Xenopus tropicalis: one gene and its partners. The protein of the gene in region 3 purifies or fractionates together with the protein of the main gene of each other region. This does not show direct contact. Links are inferred from orthologs where the notes say so. Each region holds a gene or a part of one and is shown on either strand. Other genes may lie near its edges. The genes, in order: mms19, pold3 and pold1.

Region 1 (3,654 bases), about 84 Mb from region 3:
ACTGGACAAAACAAGTTTACAACTGTTGTAGCCTCAGTTATGAATTACAGAAAGTCAGTAAAGAGCAAGAAAATGCTCTGTAGCAAAATAATTGACAATTTCCAGCACTGAATGTCTAAACAGATCAGCAGCACTCATGTACCGTTCCTTTGCATAAAAACAATTTTGCTGTTGGATAAATGAGTGTCTGAGTTAAAGGGGTGGTGTAACTTTTAGTATGTTATAGAATGGCCATTTCTACAGTAAGCAACTTTTGCATTGGTCTTTATTTATTATTTGCCGCCTTCTTCTACCTCTTCCTCTAGCCAAAAAACTATTTCTCTGTGAGGCTACAATTTTACTGTTATTGTTACTTTTAATATTGTATTTTTCTATTCATGTCCTCTCTTATTCATGTTCCAGCCTCTCATTCAAACTACTGCCTGGTTGCTAAGGTAATTTGAAACTTAGCAACCAGGTAGCTGCTGAACCGCTAAACTGTAGAGCTGCAGAACAAAAATTTAAATAATTGAAAAAACTACAGATAATAAAAAATAAAGACCAAGTTAAAATTGTCTCAGAATCTCACTCTCTACGTCATACTAAAAGTTAACCCAAAGGTAAATATCCCCTATAATTAAATGTTGAGTGGATGATGAGATGTAAGTATAGCTTCCCTCCCTTTACTTCAGTGCACTAAAGAATAGTACCTCTTTAACTATTTTTTTATCTTTGCAGTATGGCAGCCATTGAGGCTTCAGGAACCCTGGCTAAAGTTCACCCCTCAGTGTTTATCAGTAGGATGCTGCCACAGCTCTGCGCAAACTTGCAAACAGGTAAAGAATTCTTCTTGCTCTTGTTGTTTCTTGAGGCTTGGGCCAGATTAGAACCAAAGTCATTCCCATTGGTTGTGCAATCCAAGTGAACGTCACTGCTTGTGAACACTGGGGTTCTCCTCAGTCACAGTACAGCACTGTAAATAAGTGACAAGATGCACCTTAAGCTATTGTGCAGCTTCCTATTACCTTGGTCCTGTCCGTGACATTTTCTGAGAGCTCCCTAATCCTCCACTGCAGGAACAAGTGACATCTGAGATTCCTTCTTCATGTGACAGTCACCCATGCAGCCTTGACCTTATATCTGCCTTCAATTGTTGTGTTACAAATAAGTATTTTCTACTAAAATGTATTTTTAATAGAAATTAATTATCATGAAAGAGAATGCCTAGACTGCACAACAGGCAGCCATAGATGTCATTTTCTTGTAATCACTGCTTGTTAACAAGTTTAATCCCTTCTGTTTTTTTATTTTAGAACCAATGGATATTAATCTGAATGAAAGCAGAGTGGTCCCTGAGCGTTTTATAAGGCAGCGATGTCTAGAGGCATTAGCCGCTGTATCCACACATCAGAGTATTCTTAAAGAAACTGTTCCTATCCTACTGGACTATATAGGGAGGGTGCACAATGGTATGTGAGTGCACCCAAGCGTTGCAAGAACTTGTACAATCTGATGTATTTCTGCTGCACAGTTACATCTCTTACAGTGCAATGTTCAGGTTTTCATTCTGCTTGAAATATATATCTTATTTGTCTGTCTAGGAGAAGGGGAGACAAATGCAGAAAATGTGGTGTCTATATGTAGGAGCCTTCATCGGGTGGCTGTACAGTGCCAACTAGATTCCGAGGCTCTTCAGTTTTACCATGAAATTGTGTTACCCTCCCTTCTGTCATTAACTGTACAAGCTGCAACACAAGGTACGACATTTAACTGTTTAAAAATCAGAAAAGGTAAATTTTTGTGTTTGCATTAACATGCCATTTTTTCTCCTCTCTACATGTAAAAATGTTTTGCGTACATGTCTCATGTTTTTTTTAATTATTTCACATCTGGTTGCTAGGGTTTAAAGTACCTTAGAAACTAAGCAGTGGTTTGAATGAGACTGGAAGATGAATAGGAGAGGGTCTGAATAGAAAAATAAGTTATAAAAAAAGTAACAATTAAAATTGTAGCCTCACAGATCCAATAGTTTTTTTGGTTTCTGCGGTCAGTGACCCCCGTTTGAAAGTTGGAAAGAGTAAGAAGAAGGGAAATAATTCAGAAACTATAAAAAAAAAACAAATAATGAAGACCAATTGAAAAGTGGCTTAGAATTTGCCATTCTATAACGTACTAAAAGTAAACTTGAAAGGTGAACAAGCCCTTTAAAGAGGAGAAAAGCTATTTGTTAGAATTACATGCTGTGTTGGACATTTTTGAAGATTTTTTTGGCAATTCTGACCATGTGAAAACTGTTCTATCCTCTGGATCACTTTCAGGTCTGAACTTAAATCAGTCAGCTAAGGTAAAAAGTGTATTTCAAGATGTATCACAGTCCAAGCTTATGTAAGATTCATGGAATTTGGAAAAGAAATGTCATCAAGAAAATGCTAGAAGTGAATGATCAATAAGTAGCCACTCAGACTATATGGATTAGATAGGCAGGGACAAGCTGGACTGGTCCTATGTACGGCAGCTTCTAGTTAATTACATAATGTTGCACTAGAGTGGAGCATCTGTGGGATGATTTCTACAAATTCTGCTTCTGTTGCTGCCTACAGAAAACGTTTACATCCGTTAAGGCAAGCTATATAGCAGCTTCCACTTCCACATAGGGGAATGTCCTGTGTGCATAATAAATAGTTTACTGCATATTCTAGTAGCCTGCACCTACTGAACCTGTATCAATAAGGGATACTCACTCTCTGTGATCATAACCTGTATCCATAAGGGACACAACTGTGTAGCATGAGTTAAATATTGTCTATATATTTTGGTAATTAAAAACTTAAATATAGTTTTTATTGTACCTTCAGGTTGTTTGTATCTCGTATCCTTATCATATCTTTTGCTTTTTTCAGACAGCGGAACTTCCTGCAATGTTTTGCTGAGGGATGATGTTCTCACTGCAATGGTGCCAGTAATTACTGCAGCCTGCACCCATCTCACACCCGAGTGAGTATAGTGGATGCTGATATTATACATAAAGAACCATTTCTATATCCCCAGTCTTAGTTTTATTGCCTTTCTGAGGGCCATGGATTAAAGCCCCCAATTCTTGTCTGCTATTTATTTTCCTTTGTCAGGTTAGCCTCAAAAAGCGTCTCCCAGGTTGTAGCCTTATTTCTTGATGGGGATGTTTCACTTTTTTCTGAAAACAATTTACCAAGCAACTTCCAACCATTCCAGGTAGGCTGGATACATTTAATTGTGTATTTTAACGTTAAAGGGATTCTAAACTTCAAAATAACGCAAATGTAATTTAAATGATCTGTTAAGTATTCATTAAGTGGACTTAAGTTATTATAAGGGTATTTGTTAATGGTAATGGCCATTGTTTCTGTTGCTTTCTGCTATTTACTGCACTGCTGGTTCTGATTACATGCACCATTGAAACCATGTTGCAGTAGTCGTCTTAGTTTTTCCACTGTTCTTAATGTAAAGATATGGTTGTTGCTAGCTGCAGTGCCGCAGTCTCTGATATAAAAGTGGGCAGTATATAGTGTCTGTAATACAGTGATCCATTTGAGTAGTGACAGAGACAGTGATGGAGAGTTGAGCAGAAACAAATGTGTGCCCTGAATTCTGAAAGGACTAGTAACCACCCCTTTTGACTGACATTATTCTATATATGGC
Region 2 (3,754 bases), on a different chromosome or scaffold from region 3:
AAGCAAGGGGGGGGGGGCAGTACTCACTGTTTCGCCAGGTTAACATGGACGCCCAGCGTGTGGCTCAGCCATTTGTACGTCACCTGTAACGCAAGCAGAGAGAATGGCGTCAGTCGGGGCAAGTCAGTATGATACATAGCGATACAGATGGGCGGGGCTAGAGGGATAATGAGGCTGAAATACCGGCAGCCCATTGGCTCAGTAACACAACAGGGACTGCCTGGGTCTCACTGCATTTGTACTGACCCAACCCCTGAACCAGAGGTGACCAAAACTGGCCAAAAACCAGATTGGGGCCCTGTTCCAAATGCAACATTATAAGGGTCATGCAAGGAATTATGGGAAGACCCCATCGTTCCCATCTGGGTGGGGGGGGGGATGACCCCAGGGTCCCCATCTGGGTAGGGGGGGGATGACCCCAGGGTCCCCATCTGGGTAAGGGGGGGATGACCCCAGGGTCCCCATCTGGGTAAGGGGGGGATGACCCCAGGGTCCCCATCTGGGTAAGGGGGTGACCCCAGGGTGCCCATCTGGGTAGGGGGGGGGTGACCCCAGGGTGCCCATCTGGGTAGGGGGGGTGACCCCAGGGTGCCCATCTGGGTAGGGGGGGTGACCCCAGGGTGCCCATCTGGGTAGGGGGGGGGTGACCCCAGGGTGCCCATCTGGGTGGGGGGGGGGATGACCCCAGGGTGCCCATCTGGGTGGGGGGGGGGGATGACCCCAGGGTGCCCATCTGGGTGGGGGGGGGGGGGATGACCCCAGGGTGCCTATCTGGGTGGGGGGGGGATGACCCCAGGGTGCCTATCTGGGTGGGGGGGGGGGGATGACCCCAGGGTGCCTATCTGGGTGGGGGGGGGGGGATGACCCCAGGGTGCCTATCTGGGTGGGGGGGGATGACCCCAGGGTGCCATCTGGGTAGGGGGGGGGTGACCCCAGGGTCCCCATCTGGGTAAGGGGGGGATGACCCCAGGGTCCCCATCTGGGTAGGGGGGGATGACCCCAGGGTCCCCATCTGGGTAGGGGGGGATGACCCCAGGGTCCCCATCTGGGTAAGGGGGGGATGACCCCAGGGTGCCCATCTGGGTAAGGGGGGGGATGACCCCAGGGTCCCCATCTGGGTAAGGGGGGGATGACCCCAGGGTCCCCATCTGGGTAGGGGGGGGGTGACCCCAGGGTGCCCATCTGGGTAAGGGGGGGGATGACCCCAGGGTCCCCATCTGGGTAGGGGGGGATGACCCCAGGGTCCCCATCTGGGTAGGGGGGGGGTGACCCCAGGGTCCCCATCTGGGTAGGGGGGGGGGTGACCCCAGGGTCCCCATCTGGGTAAGGGGGGGATGACCCCAGGGTGCCCATCTGGGTAGGGGATGACCCCAGGGTGCCTATATGGGTGGTGGGGGGGGGGGATGACCCCTGGGTGCCTATCTGGGTGGGGGGGGATGACCCCAGGGTGCCTATCTGGGTGGGGGGGGGATGACCCCAGGGTGCCTATCTGGGTGGGGGGGGGATGACCCCAGGGTGCCTATCTGGGTAGGGGGGGGTGACCCCAGGGTCCCCATCTGGGTAGGGGGGGGGGATGACCCCAGGGTGCCCATCTGGGTAGGGGGGGGATGACCCCAGGGTGCCTATCTGGGTAGGGGTGACCCCAGGGTCCCCATCTGGGTAGGGGGGGGGGGATGACCCCAGGGTGCCCATCTGGGTAGGGGGGGGGGATGACCCAGGGTGCCTATCTGGGTAGGGGGGGGGTGACCCCAGGGTGCCCATCTGGGTAGGGGGGGATGACCCCAGGGTGCCCATCTGGGTAGGGGGGGATGACCCCAGGGTGCCTATCTGGGTAGGGGGGGGTGACCCCAGGGTGCCCATCTGGGTAGGGGGGGTGACCCCAGGGTGCCCATCTGGGTAGGGGGGGGATGACCCCAGGGTGCCCATCTGGGTAGGGGGGCCCGGGGGGGGGGGGATGACCCCAGGGTGCCCATCTGGGTAGGGGGGGGGATGACCCCAGGGTGCCCATCTGGGTGGGGTGGGGGGGGGGATGACCCCAGGGTGCACATCTGGGTGGGTGGGGGGGGGATGACCCCAGGGTGCACATCTGGGTGGGTGGGGGGGGGATGACCCCAGGGTGCACATCTGGGTGGGTGGGGGGGGGATGACCCCAGGGTGCACATCTGGGTGGGTGGGGGGGGATGACCCCAGGGTGCCCATCTGGGTAAGGGGGAATAAACCACCAAATTGCCCATGCCAGGGAGAAGCGGCCCGGGTATTATTATAAGAAGGGACGGCAGGTTCCATTCAGAAGAGCCGGAGAGCCCCAGTTGCTCGGAACTCACGATCTTATTCTGATCAGCCACCAGCTCGTCGATATTCTCCAGGTACAGTTCGTCCATAGCTCCCGCCCGGGTCCGGCCCCAGGGAACCCGCAGCTACTCTCTATACTTGGCGCCTGACAACCGAGGCCAGCGGGAGCGGGGAGCGCAGGCGCAAAAGCACCAACATCATTGGCGGAGAGAAGACGCGGCTAAAGACGCTGCCCAATGAGAAGCGAGCTGCGCACACGTGGAACAGAAATAAACACGCCCCTTCCCTGTGCCAGTACTAGAGCAAGGCACGCCGGGAAGGTTAACTCTATATGTGCTGGAGGCAGGACCTCTGCAGGCTCTCTCTATAGGGCAGGCAGACTTTACCCTTACAGGCAGATACAAGGGGGAATCTGTAGGAAATGGAGTCACAGCTTGAACAGGCAAACCTGGGGTTTAAAGGGACCCTGCCCTCATATTTATGGGGCTGTTTGTCTCTAAATGACACTGTCACACAGAAACAATTCCCTCTGCCATTTAACCTTCTATTCTTGTACCAACAAATGTATTTGTAGCTGTAATATTGGTGTGTAGGCGCCATCTCAGTGCCTTGTGCCTGAGTCTGAGCTTTCAGCCAGCGCTACACATTAGAACTGCTTTCAGCTAACCTATTGTTTCTCCTACTCCCATGTAACTGGAGGAGTCCCAAGCCGGACTTGGATTTCTTACTATTGAGTGCTATTCTGATACCTACTGGGAGCTGCTATCTTGCTCCCTTCCCATTGTTCTGCTGATTGGCTGCTGGGGGTGAGGGGGGGGGATATCACTCCAACTTGCAGCGCAGCAGTAAAGTGTGCCTGAGTCTGAGCTTTCAGCCAGCGCTACTCATTAGAACTGCTTTCAGCTAACCTATTGTTTCTCCTACTCCCATGTAACTGGAGGAGTCCCAAGCCGGACTTGGATTTCTTACTATTGAGTGCTATTCTGATACCTACTGGGAGCTGCTATCTTGCTCCCTTCCCATTGTTCTGCTGATTGGCTGCTGGGGGTGAGGGGGGGGATATCACTCCAACTTGCAGCGCAGCAGTAAAGTGTGCCTGAGTCTGAGCTTTCAGCCAGCGCTACTCATTAGAACTGCTTTCAGCTAACCTATTGTTTCTCCTACTCCCATGTAACTGGAGGAGTCCCAAGCCGGACTTGGATTTCTTACTATTGAGTGCTATTCTGATACCTACTGGGAGCTGCTATCTTGCTCCCTTCCCATTGTTCTGCTGATCGGCTGCTGGGGGTGATGTTTTCCCATGTCAGTGTTCCTTTAATGTATGTGAACTGGAACAATTTTATCCCTATAGCCTACAGCAGCACTTGGTATCCATAGTACAGGTATGGGACCCGTTATCCAGAATGCTCGGGACCTGGGATTTTCCGGATAAGGGGTATTTCTATAATAGGATTGTTCTGCC
Region 3 (3,654 bases):
AACATTTGAAGGCAAATAGAAACCTCCATGTTATTCCATAGTAGAAATGTTATGGCTGCCAAATCACGTATAATAAACTTATAATATAATATCTTGATCCTATCTTGTTTTGTGCCAGAATGGCAACGAGCAGACCCGCAGGCGACTGGCAGTTTACTGCCTGAAGGATGCCTACTTGCCCCTTCGGCTCATGGAGAAACTTATGTGCGTCATCAACTACATGGAAATGGCGCGCGTGACTGGCGTTCCTCTCAGCTACCTGCTGTCTCGCGGCCAGCAGATTAAAGTGGTGTCTCAGCTTCTAAGACAGGTTCGAGCTTTTCATTACACTTTAAGAATCACCCTATGATTGTCTGTAGTTTTCAGTAATGGGTTTGGGGGCTATTAGAACATGTTAAAAATTATCAATTTGTTACAGCAGCATAACCCCCAAAATGAACAATTATCCTGTTATTGTGTCAGTTGCAGGGAGCTGGTTTATGCCACCATATATACATCATTTCTTTTGAAACTCATGTATGCACTTCTGATAATACTTTACTCTTATTAAATCCTGTAACTAGCTCCACCCCTGCTTTTACTAAAGAGGTCACCGGCCGAGCATAAATACGCCAGAGAAAACACACGCACATGATAAAAAGCAATTTACATGCAAAATGTAGCCGGACTGATCAACAATTCGCTACATAATTACGTCACCAGCATACAAGCCACAAATACTTATATGCGCAATACATCTTGCAAGAGTTGGACCGCCATATTGAAAATACGCTGTGTATTTCAGTGAAGTGTATTTCCAAACATGTTGATCCCATAGAGTTCAAGGGTATGGCATTTCCTCGACGTATAGGTGTTTCTGCCTATAGGCAAGCACTGCCGTTCTGTTGTAAATATCTGCTTGCAAAGGCCCTGTAGGAATTGCTATAGTGCATATAACATTATTCTCAACAGGGCTTTATTTTGTGCGCATTAACGTACAAATCCACATTTTTAAAAAACGTCCCATGTGACTTCGCCCTAAGTATACACTGGCTGCAGCTCCAGAAACTGTAAACTCATGTAACTTTGCCGAGCACACTTGCAGTTTACATTATTTTTTTTTGTTTTCTAGATATTGTGAGTTGTCGCCCTGCTACTTTATTGAATTTTAAGCAACAGTGCCACCTGCAGTTCATAACTGGCAAATTGTTGAGGGGATGTGGTAGACCTTGAAAAGGACAATGTGAAGTTTAATTTTTGTATTTTGTGTATTTAGAATGACTTTAGTGTTCCTGCCAATTATCAAACTCTTTTTATTTGCTGATTTTTTTTTCAATTTGATTTCATTTTGGGATACTTTAGGCCATGAAACAAGACCTGGTGATGCCCGTGGTCAAGTCAGAGGGAGGTGAAGATTACACTGGGGCTACAGTCATTGAACCCCTGAAAGGGTAAGAACGTTATACAATGTGTCACTTTCACCAGATGGGGGGGCACAGCCGTATGGATACTGAGTCACATTATATTGGCAGCTTCTTTATTAGCACTGCTTTATAGAGCTGCTTATCAGAGTACACACTGCAGAAATGCTGACATCAAAGAGATACTCCTTATTTAAAAAATTTTTATAACATACTGCATATATTTTTATATGCTGGATAGCTGCGGCTGGGAGACACTTTTTGAGTATTTTGAATTAAAGGGGAACTCCAGATACTGAACCAAAATTAGATAGCCCCACACAGCACACAAACCCCTAATATCCCTATCACTGTAATCTGTTCCTTCAAAAAGTAGGAATAAATACCATTTTTATATGCTGAAATCCAGCTGCAAAACAATTCTTCTCTTTCTGCATCATTTGAAACACTGGTGGAGGAGGGAAAAAAACACTGATGTTACAAATTGTAACAACTTCTCCACAGCTTGCACACAACATGCAGGAACTACATAACCCACAATGCATTGCACTGTGCTGTTCATTTCCTTATTGACATCAGGTGTGCAGGGAATTGTGGGATTTGGATTTTATTTGAGTTTGCCATAGGATCCACTAAATACATGCCTATGATTTAACTGCAGGTATTATGATGTGCCAATTGCCACTCTTGATTTCTCGTCTCTGTATCCATCTATTATGATGGCCCATAATCTCTGCTACACCACTCTGTTGCAGTCTGGATCCATAGATAAATACGGGTAAGTGTTCTGCTGTCCGTTCCACGTATCAGAGATTTAGTGCTTCACAGATACCTGATTGTACACAGCTTAATATAGATGGGCAATGTATATTCAGCATTGTATGCATATGACAATCTTGACTGCATCTGCAGCTTACTGGCCCATGTATGTGGCCACAACCATTTCCTTTTTGATCAATATCTGATTTGGGGTTTGGTCCGATGTTAGTTGGGAAGGCTGGGAAATCCCATGCGGTGACCCTCATGTCATTACTCTTTGCAGACAAGCAGTTGTTAGCTTGTACAGCCAGGATTGCCCAAACACCTTGTAATCTTGCTTAAAAGTTGTTCCTGGAACCCAAAGACTCCAATTTACAGAGTAATAATCCAGAGCTGTTCTTGTTGAATCTCTGCAACACCTCTGTTTTAACCCTTTGTGTCCTCTGTAACTATCCAGCCTCAGTCCTGAAGATTTTATCAAGACCCCAACTGGTGATTGTTTTGTTAAGGCGAGTATAAGGAAAGGACTGCTTCCTGAAATTCTGGAAAACTTGTTATGTGCCCGAAAACGGTGAGTAAATCAAGATTTATGGGTCTTTGGTAGTGAGGTCGATAATTTCCTGAACCTCCCCTTCTCAACTCAGGCCCAACCCAGCCAAAGGTGGTGAGGACACCTAATGTATCAAGCCCTCTTAACTATATGAAGACAATGGGCCTATTTGTCAGCTCATACTTGCCCAACCCACTTGTATCACTAGTATCACTGCACTCACAGCAACAGTGCTTCCTTTTGAGCACACTGCTACTGCCCCTTTAAACACAGTTATACCCCCATTGACATGTGCAGTATATAGGTTAAAGCTTTTCTATCTTGGTAAAAGATAAACTATAAGACATGGCCTTATGCTGATTTTTACTTGGCACTGGCGAGCTGCATCATTTGGATACTTGGATCTATTACCAGACACAGCAGCAAATACATCACTTAGTTTACGCTCATATACAGTGTTTGTCACACTCATTCAACATGCCCCATGCAGTCTGCAAAGGGCAAAGGCTGCATTCGCCCCTTTTTTTTGCACTTACAACTTTCAATACCAAAATTCCAAACTGAATCCTGGATGCAATTTGTGACTGATGTATGTATATGTGTGTGTGTATCTATATAATATACACACATACAGTAGGCATGAATTGCATCCAGGTTTCACTTTGGAATTTGGTATTGAAAGTTGTTCTGACTCATATAGTGAGACACACTATATTATATTGCCTATTTCTTCAGTAACTATCCTGTACATTGGAATTTAGAGATTGCTGGGAGTTGTATCTCAGAACTAGATGGAGACCATTGCTGAATTCACATCTTTATGTTTTAGGGCAAAGGCAGAACTGAAGAAAGAGACTGACCCTTTTAAGCAAAAGGTGTTGGATGGGCGTCAGCTGGCACTGAAAGTCAGCGCTAACTCTGTGTATGGTTTTACAGGAGCACAGG

The links.
Region 1: the proteins of pold1 (region 3) and mms19 purify together in Homo sapiens (affinity purification with western blotting; 3 studies listed by BioGRID and IntAct, with this or other methods). This does not show direct contact. The link is inferred for Xenopus tropicalis from reciprocal best matches to the Homo sapiens genes POLD1 and MMS19.
Region 2: the proteins of pold1 (region 3) and pold3 purify together in Homo sapiens (co-immunoprecipitation; 8 studies listed by BioGRID and IntAct, with this or other methods). This does not show direct contact. The link is inferred for Xenopus tropicalis from reciprocal best matches to the Homo sapiens genes POLD1 and POLD3.

What each region holds. Positions count from the first base shown.
Region 1 is NC_030683.2:33,016,949-33,020,602, reverse strand, and holds part of mms19 (MMS19 nucleotide excision repair protein homolog), read left to right. Parts: intron 1-717; coding exon 718-815; intron 816-1,292; coding exon 1,293-1,448; intron 1,449-1,580; coding exon 1,581-1,736; intron 1,737-2,879; coding exon 2,880-2,973; intron 2,974-3,104; coding exon 3,105-3,207; intron 3,208-3,654. UniProt on the Homo sapiens protein: Key component of the cytosolic iron-sulfur protein assembly (CIA) complex, a multiprotein complex that mediates the incorporation of iron-sulfur cluster into apoproteins specifically involved in DNA metabolism and genomic integrity.
Region 2 is NC_030678.2:174,997,532-175,001,285, reverse strand, and holds the start of pold3 (DNA polymerase delta subunit 3), read right to left. Parts: upstream 2,445-3,754; 5' UTR 2,382-2,444; coding exon 2,325-2,381; intron 84-2,324; coding exon 28-83; intron 1-27. UniProt on the Homo sapiens protein: Accessory component of both the DNA polymerase delta complex and the DNA polymerase zeta complex.
Region 3 is NC_030683.2:117,272,680-117,276,333, reverse strand, and holds part of pold1 (DNA polymerase delta catalytic subunit), read left to right. Parts: intron 1-118; coding exon 119-310; intron 311-1,341; coding exon 1,342-1,430; intron 1,431-2,061; coding exon 2,062-2,178; intron 2,179-2,616; coding exon 2,617-2,730; intron 2,731-3,538; coding exon 3,539-3,654. UniProt on the Homo sapiens protein: As the catalytic component of the trimeric (Pol-delta3 complex) and tetrameric DNA polymerase delta complexes (Pol-delta4 complex), plays a crucial role in high fidelity genome replication, including in lagging strand synthesis, and repair.